Pelodiscus sinensis: one gene and its partners. The protein of the gene in region 3 interacts with the protein of the main gene of each other region in a pairwise test. Links are inferred from orthologs where the notes say so. Each region holds a gene or a part of one and is shown on either strand. Other genes may lie near its edges. The genes, in order: SNX22, KLHL12 and DVL3.

Region 1 (3,742 bases), on a different chromosome or scaffold from region 3:
CCTTTTGTGCAGGGCATGGAACTCGCTGTACCGCTTCTCAAGGGTGTGTTTCCGGCCATTGAACAGCACCTCCACCGTGAACACCTGCCAGGCCACAGAGAGACATGAGAGGGGCTGCCTAGCCTCAGAGCAGAAATCCGCAATAAGAGCACCCCCCTTCCCATACCCAGCCCCTTCCCCTTGCAGCCCTCGGGTGGGGCAGCTGCTGGCAGGGCTGGCTTGGCAGTGGAAGCCGCTGTGTTCTCCCTCCCAGGGTGCACTGCAGCTGTGTAAGCACAATCCAGTGTCCGGAGAGCAAACAGAGCCACAAAAGGCTCTTTCAGAGCAGGCTCTGGCTCCGCTCCCGCACACCGGGCAGGGAGGGCAGCAGCTCCCTTCCAGAAATCCCCTCTTGCTGGGCACAGCAGCTGAAAGGCCTCCTGCAACCGACAGGTCAGCACAGGCTCCATCGCCTCTCCTGCGCCCTGCGCACACGCTGCCACCGTCCCACATCGGACAGCGCGCGCTCTGCCTCGGGCAGCACATGCGGAGCCGCCGGCTGACGCCGCAAGGAGGCTGGGGGTGGGCAGGACGTAGCTAGGAGCTGGACCAGACCACCAGGCTCAGCATCGGTCAGCCAAGGAGGGCCAATGCCCATTCATTGCGCTGCCTCACATGGGAATATGCCCCCCCAGCGGCACAAACACACACCCCGGTGCACCAGAGCGAGCATCATGTCACAGCAGCGCAGAGAGCTCCCGCCGGAGGGCAGGGAACCTGGATTAGCACAGGAACTAGTCACAGGGTCGACACAGGGCAGAGCTGGGAATGGCCTTGCAGCATTCGCTCACCAGCCTTTATGTGAGCTTGGGTTTGCTTGCAGGCTCTCCCCCCCCCATGCTCGCTTCTCTCCCCCTAGTGTGGGATGCAGCCCAGACAAAAACAACAGGTGCCAGGCCAGCCATGGTCCTGCCCTGGCAGGGGCTGCAGCTCTCTGGCTGGAGTCTAGCCACTGCCCAACGCAGCAAGACAGGCCCCCGCACCCCGCACCAGAGCCTGGTGCAGAGGACAATCCAACGAGGCAGCCAGGAACTGGTCACAGCCTCCCTGGCCGGGCTGGTACTGAATTACTGAGTGACCCAAGTCAAATCCCAGCTCGGCACCTGGCTCGGAACAGCCTTATCCCAGGCCTGGGCAGCCAGAAAGGGGAGCGTCCAACATCCCCAATTCCCAGGCCAGGCCCAAGGGGGATGCTCGGCCCTTCCTCTTCCGAAGAGGGAACCGAAACCACCCCCACGCACAAGCTGCTCACCGGGACCAGCTCACCGATCCCCAGCCTCCCAGGCGAGGTGCAGGCCGGGGGCAGGGTGACCTGCCTGTGCCCAGCTAGGAGCTGGAGGGCAGGACGGGGCTGCTGGCCCAGCCCGTGCAGCGAGGCTGGCTCCTACGCCGGTCCCATCAGGGCTGCGGGGAGGGCAGCCTGCCCTGGCACACGTGGCTCAGGCAGGCGGGGAAGACGCCGGTGTTCAGGAACCTGTGGGCTCCGTGGATTTGGAAGCGGGAACGACGGGCATGGGGCTGGCTCTGCCCCCCGCACTAGCGAGACCCCTGGATCCAACCCCCGGCTGCTCTCAGCCTGCTGCTGAGGGCCACAGGGGACGCAAAGCAGAGCAGGCCGGGGCCGTGCAAGCCAGAGGGGAGCGTGGTCGCCTGCCTTCCCCAGCAGCTGCCTGGGGACTGTGGGCCGGGGCCAGGGCAGGGCTGTTGGGCCAGCAGGTTGGGAAGCCCCAGTTCCACGGCTGGCCCCACAGCCGGCCCCACAGCCGGCCCCTCTGAGCAAGGCAGGCGCCCAGGGGCCAGCGCAGCAGGGGGAACGGAGCAGAGAGGAAATGGTCTGAAGTCCCCAGCCAGGCTGGCCGGAGTTATAGCCCCCCCCCCGGGGGCCTTGTGCAGGGGGGCAGGCAGACCCCACCCCAGGGACCGGGCTCCCCAGCTCCTCCGCCCTCCCCTGCGGTCACTGGACGGGTTTAACCCCTTCCCTGCCGGACCCGGGGCTGCACGTGTGTCACCAGCCCCCCGCCCCCCGCCCCAGACACGTTACGTCGGGCCGCGCCATCAGCGGGGCAGGAGGGAAAGTTTGAAACCCCCCGGCCGCGGGCGTGGGGGGGGGGCTAGTGACTCAGCGAAAAGCCCCCCCGCCCCTCTTCGGCGAGTGACTGGCCCAGGGGGCCGCTCGCTCCTGCCCCGCCCCCAGCGGGCTGGCCTGGGGGGGGGGCACTGTTGCCCCGCATTGCCCCCCCGGGGGCAGACCTGGCCCCGGGCCGAGGCCAGGCGGGCAGCGGAGCAAGCCCCGGGCCGGGGGCGGCTGCTCCTGAGCGGGGCCCCCTCCCCCCGTGTCCCGGCGGGGCCGCCCCTCACCGTGCGCGTCTTCTCGGGGCTCCGCACGGGCTCGGCCCCCGGCCCCACGGCGGGGATGGAGACCGCGATCATCGCGCCGCCGGCCGGCCCGGCCGCCCCCTGCTCCATTCATCCCGGCCCCGGCCGCCCCGCCCCGCCCGGGACAGGCCCCGCAGCGCCCCCAGCGCCCGCCCCGGCGCAGCGCCTGGCGCCGGGGCGGGGGAGCGGGCGTCCTGCCGGGGCGCTGCCGGGGCGCAGGGCCATGCTGAAGCCCGCCCGGGCCAGGGGTGTCCCGGCCCCAGTCGCCCGCGGGGGGGGTCAGTAGGGGCGCCAGACGAAAGTCCCGGACACACTGGCCATCCCGTCCCAATCCGCATCCCGTGGGCGTTAGACAACCCCGGACAGGTCTCCGGTACCGGGCTGTGGGGTTCAAACCGGACACCTGGCAGCCCTAGGGGTCAGGCTGGGTTTCCCCGGGGGAGGGGGGTGTCAGGGCTACTCCCAGCAACCTGCATCCGCAGAGAACCCCCGGCAGGTGCAGGGCGCAGACGACTCTGGGACAGAGGCCTCCCAGGTACAGTGTAAACACACCCACACCCACACCCAGTGGGGCTGGGACACTGGCAGGTGTCACCGCTCAAGGGCTGGCTGTGTGTGCCCACGGCTGCGCTGGGTACGGCCCCGGGGCCACGCTCCCAGCTCGCCTGGGCGCTGTAAGCGGCTCCATCCCGCCGAGTGTCTCAGCCTGGCCCGCAGCTCGGGGCTCTTCCCCTGCGGGAGAGGGAAGTGAGGCCTGGGCCGGCGCAGACCCCCGGGGAAAGGCCAGAAGCAGCATCCCCGCTCTCCGCTTTCACTTCTTATTTCTGGTAAAGGCTCCCACTGCCGGGACACGCGCAGGCTCCAGCAGCGAGTCCCTGAGGGGGGGTCCCTGCACCCCGCCCCCCGAGAGGCGCTGGGGCCAGGGAGCCAGAAACAGGCACCTTGTGCTGGCTGGACAACTGCAGCACCCGCAGCAGCTGGCTGCACCCCCCTGCTCTGGACTCCAGCCCAGCGCGCCCCCCTGCTCGCCTGGTGCCCCTCAAACCCACCCCGCAGCCCCCTGCTAGTCTAGTGCACGGCTCCCCTTCAAGCCCCCCAGCCAAGGCAGCAGCTGGGCCTCTGTGGGGCCTGTTAGGTACTTAGCTAATCCCTGCTTGTTCCAGGCTTTAGCGCCACTGCTGATGCCTGACTCAGGCAATAGCTGGGGGGAGGCGGCCTGAGGCCAAGTCTGCACTGGCACTTTACAGCACTGCAATTTTCTGGCTCGGGTGTGAAAAGACACACACAGAGACACACCCGAGCACAGGAACAGCCGGCGTGAACAGGC
Region 2 (3,742 bases), on a different chromosome or scaffold from region 3:
TTTGATCTGAGGAAGTGGGTCTGGCCCACGAAAGCTCATCATCTAATAAACCATCTTGTTAGTCTTTAAAGTGCTACATAGTCCTGTATTTTGTTTCAGCTACACCAGACTAACATGGCTACATTTCTATCACGATTTTGAAAGTAAAACCGCAGTCTATACCAAGGAGTACAGGATCTTTCGAAAAAGCCTGCCGTTTTTGAAAGAACTGCAACTAGACTGTTTTACTTTCGAACAAGCGCCATTTCGGAAGAGTGCCATGACACAATTATGCAAATGAAGCACAGGATATTTAAATCCCTGCTTCATTTGCAATTTCACAGTGTCTAATTAACATCCTTCTGTCGAAAGAGGGATGTAGTAGACACAGCCTTTGTGTAAGAAGAGGCATTAGAAATGTAACTTTTACAACCCCAGTTCCATGATCCATAGAATCATAGAGCTGGAAGAGACCTCAGTAGGTCATCAAGTCCAGCGCCCCGCCCAAGGCAGGACCAACCCCTTTCTGCCTCCCCTCATTTTTTTCTATTTACCACTGCATTAAGTTTGAAGCAAAGCACAGAAAACGACTGCTAGTTAACAATCTGAACCAAACAGTGAATTGCAGCACAGCCAAACATTATCTCCTTTCAACATTTTGCAAAAGGATGTGCAATTAGTGTAAATCACTAGCAAGTAGTCAGAAGAAGAGCCTGGTTCATGGACAGGGCACTAGCCCTGGAGCTCAATGCTCTGTTCTATTCCTGGTTCTGCCACGGACCAGCTGGACAACTTTGAGCCAAGTCCACTCTCCCCTCCCCACATTTCTCAGTCTTCACTGTGACAGGCTGCAAGCTATTAAGGGCTAGAATGGCCTCTGGTGGTTAGCGATGTAAAAGTTCAACAGTTACAATTATATATTTTAACCCATTGACTTTTTAAATAGCTATTTACTGCCAGTAGGGATGTACTCAGGACAAGGGGGTCTAAGCACTCCTGTAGTATTGAACTGGCAGACAAAGGCTTGTTGGATGCCACCAGGAGCATAGGGGATGCTCTACCAGCCAGGTGTGAAAGGAATGCACAGAATAAAAGCACTTTCCCCTCACTCCCGTCCAGGGAACAGGATGAAAAGCAAGCCATGTCCCATAGGGTTGCCAGATTGTTTCAACAAAAATACCAGACACACTTGACATTCCATCACAATCTACATTACACCTGATTTAGAAAATACCAGATATTTCTATTTTCTCAATTTGTTTCCCGAACAGAAAGCTCAAATACTGGACTCTCCGGTTCAAAACCGGACACCTGGCAACCCTAGTCCCAGAGCGCATGGCAGCTGCTACCCCCCATGTGCCCGAAATGCGCCCTTGCCCAATACCATGTCAATGTGGCTGAGATGAGCCCCCTCCAGGACCGCACAAGAGTGTTCTACTGGATGTACAAGTGGCTCTCGAGAGCCTACCTCGCTGGTGAACATGGCACAGAAGTAGTCGCTGCAGGCTGCCAGCACAATGCGGTGTGCGGCAAAGTCTTTCTGTTCAACACGCAGCGTCACGTCACAGAGCGTACTGCTCCTCCGCAGGGCGTTCATGGCGTTCAGGATGGACTTGGCGTGCGAGTTGGTCATGATGTCCTTGGGGGCCATGGCGGCCCTGTTCTCCCAGCACGGGATGGGGCAGGGGGACAGTCTCTGATCCCAGGCCCTGCTCCTCCAGAAGCGTGGGGGGGGGGGGGGAGGGTGTCACTGTGGCCACGGGCCCCGCTCCCCCGGCACGGGGGGGGGGGGGGGTCACTGAGGCCCCGGGCCCCGCTCCCCCGGCACGGGGGGGGTCACTGAGGCCCCGGGCCCCGCTCCCCCGGCACGGGGGGGGGGTCACTGAGGCCCCGCTCCCCCGGCACGGGGGGGTCACTGAGGCCCCGCTCCCCCGGCACGGGGGGGTCACTGAGGCCCCGGGCCCCGCTCCCCCGGCACGGGGGGGTCACTGAGGCCCCGCTCCCCCGGCACGGGGGGGGTCACTGAGGCCCCGGGCCCCGCTCCCCCGGCACGGGGGGGTCACTGAGGCCCCGCTCCCCCGGCACGGGGGGGTCACTGAGGCCCCGCTCCCCCGGCACGGGGGGGGGTCACTGAGGCCCCGCTCCCCCGGCACGGGGGGGGTCACTGAGGCCCCTGGCCCCGCTCGGGGGGGGGGGTCACCGCGGGTGGCGGGACACGGGCCGGGATCTGGTGGCAGGTGAGCGAGGCCCCGAGACCAGGGAAGGGGCGGGGCTAGAACGCACCACGTGGGCAGCTGCCAGCTCTGCGCACGCGCCCAGCCGTGGGGAGGCCTAGGGCTCAAAGGGCGCAGGAAAAGCACTTTTAACTCACGCATCCAATCACATCGGCCGGGGGGTACCAGCGACCAATCGCGGGGAAGGTCATCACAGCAGCCTGTCGCCCGCCCCCAGCGGAAATGCTTGTGCCCTGAATCACGTGGGACACAGCGGCGGTGCTGCCTTTGGCGGAAGTGGCGTCACACCCGAGGCTGTTTCCGGTGTTGCCAGCCGGAGCCGCCGCTGCTGCTGCCCGGGATGTAGGGCCGGTGAGTGCGGGCGGGAAGGGGCAGGCGCGCGGCGCGGCTGCGGGCGGGGGGCCGGGTCCCCTCCCGGCGGGCTCGCTGGTGCTGCGGGCCCGGGGCCCGCCTAGGCGGCCCGCCGCGGGCAGAGTCAAGGCGGCCAAGGTGATGCCGGGGCAGCTGCTGCGGAGCCCGCCGGCCTGGCGCTGGGCTCCGTTCCCAGCGGCGCCTCGGCTCCCGCGGCTCTGGCCAGAGCGCGCCGGGGGCCCCGCGGCCCGACCCCCGCTCAGCGCCCCTACGGCGGCCAGACATTGACAATACAGGGCACGAAAACAGCCGGAATCGCTCCGTCCGATTGTCCCTCTTGCCCAATATCCCGCCTGCGGATGATGACTAATGCAAGGTGCTTCCGAGGGTGTGAACGGCGCCGGCAATGATCAAGTGAGCGATCCCTGCTGGTCCACACCCAACATCTGGGAAACCGGCTAGTGCAGGGGTGTCCAAACTTTTTTCAACGAGGGCCAGATTTGATGAAGTGAACATGCGTGAGGGCCGACCATTTTGCCTGACATTCTTTGAACCATTAAAATTAAATGCAAATTAACTATTTTACGCAAAGTTTATTGCAAACGACATACTTTTCATTTCGTCACATGGATGACAAATCTAAACAGGTGTTAAATCACTCTGCCTTTCATATCTGAAGGCCAGATGAAAAAAAAATCCAGGAAGCTGAAATATATGTCAGGAACATTGTAAAGTACATTACATATTATTGGTAATAAAGGTTGTCTGTCAACTTTTAAGTTCAAAAAATATGAACAGGAACATAACACCAAGTATACATGTTGTGTCCAAATATATTTTTAACTGATTTAGACCAACGGACATTAACTGAGATTTTACAATGTATTCATCTCAATTGGAAAAAAAACTTGCCTGCACTAATGTGAAGGGTGAAACTGAGATCTGGACTGCAGCACATAGGCTAGGTCTGGTTCAAAGGCAGTGGTTTTGATGCGCAAAATGTCACGCAGGTGAGAGTCACTCAGTCTTGTCCTCACGCGGTTCTTGTTAAACTTCATAGCAGAGAATGTCTTCTCACACATATGTTGAGCCAAACAAGCTCAGCATTTTCTTAGCCAATGTTCGAATCTCTTGAACCCGGCTCTTATCCAGTTGGCGGTAAAAGTTCACAAGAGAGA
Region 3 (3,742 bases):
TAGCAACAGGGGTGTTGCTAGACAGACCTTTGGTCTGACCCAGTATAGCCGTTCTTTGTTATGTTGGGTGTGTTGACACAATCTTGTCGCTAAAAGTTGTGTAGTGTAGTCATGGGTCTGGGTCTCTCCATATCATTTCTCTAGTATCTGCAGCTCCTCCCTGTTTTGCTTCATCTGCAAATTTCACTAATCTGCCATATGCCTCTTCTTCTGGATCATTAGTGAAGCTATGAAATAAGACCAGACCTAACACGGGTCCCTGCAGCTTCCACCAGACCCCTGGCTACAACCTGAGACATTACTATATATTACAGTACTATACCTTGTTGACAAATGCAGACACTTTTCCACCTCTAAGGAAGTGTTGCAGTCAAAAATTTAAATTCATTTCGAGAGAAATGTTTCAAAGGACCCCAAAGTATTTCTTTACAAACAACACGCACAGAGAATTAATTTCACTCACCGTGGAAATGCAACAGCCATTGAACAGTACCCAACAATGGGATACAGTAGTTTAGGCACAGAATATGTAGTGCAAACAACTACAATTCCAGAGGGAATGATGGCAGGAAAAGGTACTTAACTGGAATTTGGATAAAAGGTAATACCAACTCATTTGAGAAGTGCCAGGAATCTTTCATGATCATGAACAGCCTCTACATTGGTTCTAACTCTAATCTAAATGCTATCATCTCCAGACCTAACACCAGCTTGGGGCATCTAGGTCAAAAGTGACTCAGTGAAGAACATACCCCTTAACACCGTGATGTCCAACATACTAGCCATATGTGCCTATTTGGCCAGTTGAATGTGACTATTTGGCTGGATGAATGTGGCTAGTTCAGAATTGGTTACACACCACAGCCCTAATGACTCCCACACACTGCTTTATGCAGCACTCAGAATTATCTGAAAGTCTCTCATACAAGCAGTAACCAGGCCCATCCCTGTTTAATTTATGAGCTCTAACAAGGTCATGGCCTGAGGCTGTCTTTGGCTAGGAGGAGTATGAAACTACAGGCCACTTGGAACCCCTAGTTGCACCCTCACAAGTTCTAGTGCAAATGGTGAATCCTGTGAGGAAAACAAACGAAGCAAGTCAGGCCCTGCAACTCTGTGCCAAGTAGGTGCTCTACAAGAGAGGAAGAGCAGGGCTCCCTGGACAGAACTGGGATGTCCACCAGAGACTAAAAAAGAGATGCAAGGAGATGACAGAATGGCGTGAAGGGGGTGTTACTGTTCAGTTGGAGAAGAAAGGATCAGGGGCTCCATAGAAAAATTAAGAAAGTTTCTACATGGCTGGTAGTTCCTTAAAGAAATGTAGATTTTGTTGGGGAAGTGTCAGAAAAAGTAGTCTATGGAGCCCCAAAATGAGAGAAGGAAAGGAGGAACAAATCCCCCAACCTTCTAACCCAGATATAAGGTTTGAGGGTCCTAGAATCTCTCGAGAATGGATTTGGACGATGAGAGTCCCATCTGAATGGCTTTTTAAGAAGCACTGATGACTTCCGTCATTAAAAGAGTTCAAATGCTCCCTTAAATAAGCGCACACAATGGAGATGGAACAGGCATTCCCACCCCAGTACAGGACTGAGGAGAAACTGGAGACGGGTGTTCCAGCCACATACACCCCAGAAACGGGATACAGGCAAGGTGGGAAGGGGTGTTGTCCAACCACCAACCTGGGGATGGAGGTAGGGAGCACTGTTCCCTCTAATTTTTTTCCATCTATGAGCAGAATAAATGTTGTTAGGGGCACTGAGGCATGTGCAGATGTGCCCCACCAGTAGACACATGCGGTGCTATCGGCTGCCAGCGGTGGGTGTGCTGCTAACCAGCAGTGGCATCGGAGTCTCCCCTGGGCAGCTGCCCAAGCACCCAGATTACAGGGAACACTGCTGGGGAGTGTCATCCCCAAACAGCCACCTCCAAGCACAACCTGGGGGGGTGGCCTGGGGGGGAACTGAGGGGGTGCTTGCCCCCCCCAGCACACGCCAGGGATGGGATTAGGCGGCTGGGGGGGGTGCCCAAGCACACCCCAAGGGGGGTATTGGGGGCTGTGGGAGAACACTCCGGGGCAGTTCGGGGCGGGCGGGGGCAGGCACACCCTGAGGATGAGGGGGAAGGGGCCGAGCCCACGCCGGGATGGGCCGGGGGGGGGCCGGGCACCCCCGGGGCGGGAGGGGCCCCGCTCACCCGAAGTCATCGTCCATAGACTTGAAGTAGAACTTGTAGTTGGGCCGGTTGAGGAGGCCCTTGAAGTCGCCCAGGGTGACCCGCTCGGCCGGGATCGGCAGCTTCACCAGGTAGGGCGTCTCCTGCTCGTCCAGGTGGTAGATGATCTTCGTCTCGGCCGCCGCCATGGCGCCCGCGCGGGCCCGACCCGACCCGACCCGGCCCGGCCTCTGGCGGCGCCCCCCGGCCCTTGTTCTCCGGGTCCCAGCGCCGCCCGGCTCACGGCGCAAGCTCCGGCTCCGCCCCGCCGGCCGCGGCCCCGGGGGCTTCGCTGGGCAGCGAGCGCGGCGCGGCCCGGCCTAGCCCCTCACGGCGGCGCGGCTGTAGACACGGAGCCCCCCCAACTCCCCCGCCTCCACAGACCTTCCCCGGCTCTCCACAGCCCCCCCACAGAGCCTGCCTGTAACCCCCAGCCCCCCCACCTCCCTACAGCCCCCCCCACACAGAGCCTCCCTATAACCCCCCGCCCCCCCACAGAGCCTCCCTGTAACCCCCCCGCCCCCCCACAGAGCCTCCCTGTAACCCCCAGCCCCCCCACCTCCCTACAGCCCCCCCCACACAGAGCTTGCCTGTAACCCCCCGCCCCCCCACAGAGCCTCCCTGTAACCCCCCCGCCCCCCCACAGAGCCTCCCTGTAACCCCCAGCCCCCCACCTCCCTACAGCCCCCCCCACACAGAGCTTGCCTGTAACCCCCCGCCCCCCCACAGAGCCTCCCTGTAACCCCCCCGCCCCCCCACAGAGCCTCCCTGTAACCCCCCAGCCCCCCACCTCCCTACAGCCCCCCCACAGAGCCTCCCTGTAACCCCCCCGCCCCCCCACACAGAGCCTCCCTGTAACCCCCAGCCCCCCCACCTCCCTACAGCCCCCCCACAGAGCCTCCCTGTAACCTCCCCGCCCCCCCACAGAGTCTCCCTGTAACCCCCCAGCCCCCCACCTCCCTAGAGCCCCCCCCACAGAGCCTCCCTGTAACCCCCCAGCCCCCCCACAGAGCCTCCCTGTAACCCCCCCAGCCTCCCCCACCTCCCTACAGCCCCCCCACACAGAGCCTCCCTGTAACCCCCCCAGCCCCCCCCACAGCCTCCCTGTAACCCCCCAGCCCCCCCCACAGAGCCTCCCTGTAACCCCCCAGAGCCTCCCTGTACCCCCCAGCCCCCCCCAGAGCCTCCCTGTAACCCCCCAGCCCCCCCACAGAGCCTCCCTGTAACCCCCAGTCCCCCCCACAGAGCCTCCCTGTAACCCCCCAGCCCCCCCCACACAGAGCCTCCCTGTAACCCCCCCAGTCCCCCCCACAGAGCCTCCCTGTAACCCCCCCAGTCCCCCCCACAGAGCCTCCCTGTAACCCCCCAGCCCCCCCACCTCCCTACAGCCCCCCCCACAGAGCCTCCCTGTAACCCCCCAGCCCCCACACAGAGCCTCCCTGTAACCCCCCAGCCTCCCCCACCTCCCTACAGCCCCCCCACACAGAGCCTCCCTGTAACCCCCCAGCCCCCACACAGAGCCTCCCTG

What was found.
Region 1: the proteins of DVL3 (region 3) and SNX22 interact in binary tests that used the Homo sapiens proteins (3 or more experiments, as listed by UniProt). The two-hybrid records come from large-scale screens. The link is inferred for Pelodiscus sinensis from reciprocal best matches to the Homo sapiens genes DVL3 and SNX22.
Region 2: the proteins of DVL3 (region 3) and KLHL12 interact in binary tests that used the Homo sapiens proteins (3 or more experiments, as listed by UniProt). The two-hybrid records come from large-scale screens. The link is inferred for Pelodiscus sinensis from reciprocal best matches to the Homo sapiens genes DVL3 and KLHL12.

What each region holds. Positions count from the first base shown.
Region 1 is NC_134724.1:36,774,382-36,778,123, forward strand, and holds the start of SNX22 (sorting nexin-22), read right to left. Parts: upstream 2,551-3,742; 5' UTR 2,506-2,550; coding exon 2,398-2,505; intron 85-2,397; coding exon 1-84. UniProt on the Homo sapiens protein: May be involved in several stages of intracellular trafficking. Interacts with membranes containing phosphatidylinositol 3-phosphate (PtdIns(3P)).
Region 2 is NC_134737.1:16,710,797-16,714,538, forward strand, and holds the start of KLHL12 (kelch-like protein 12), read right to left. Parts: upstream 2,270-3,742; 5' UTR 1,631-2,269; coding exon 1,448-1,630; intron 1-1,447. UniProt on the Homo sapiens protein: Substrate-specific adapter of a BCR (BTB-CUL3-RBX1) E3 ubiquitin ligase complex that acts as a negative regulator of Wnt signaling pathway and ER-Golgi transport.
Region 3 is NC_134720.1:49,009,391-49,013,132, forward strand, and holds the start of DVL3 (segment polarity protein dishevelled homolog DVL-3), read right to left. Parts: upstream 2,542-3,742; 5' UTR 2,364-2,541; coding exon 2,197-2,363; intron 1-2,196. UniProt on the Homo sapiens protein: Involved in the signal transduction pathway mediated by multiple Wnt genes.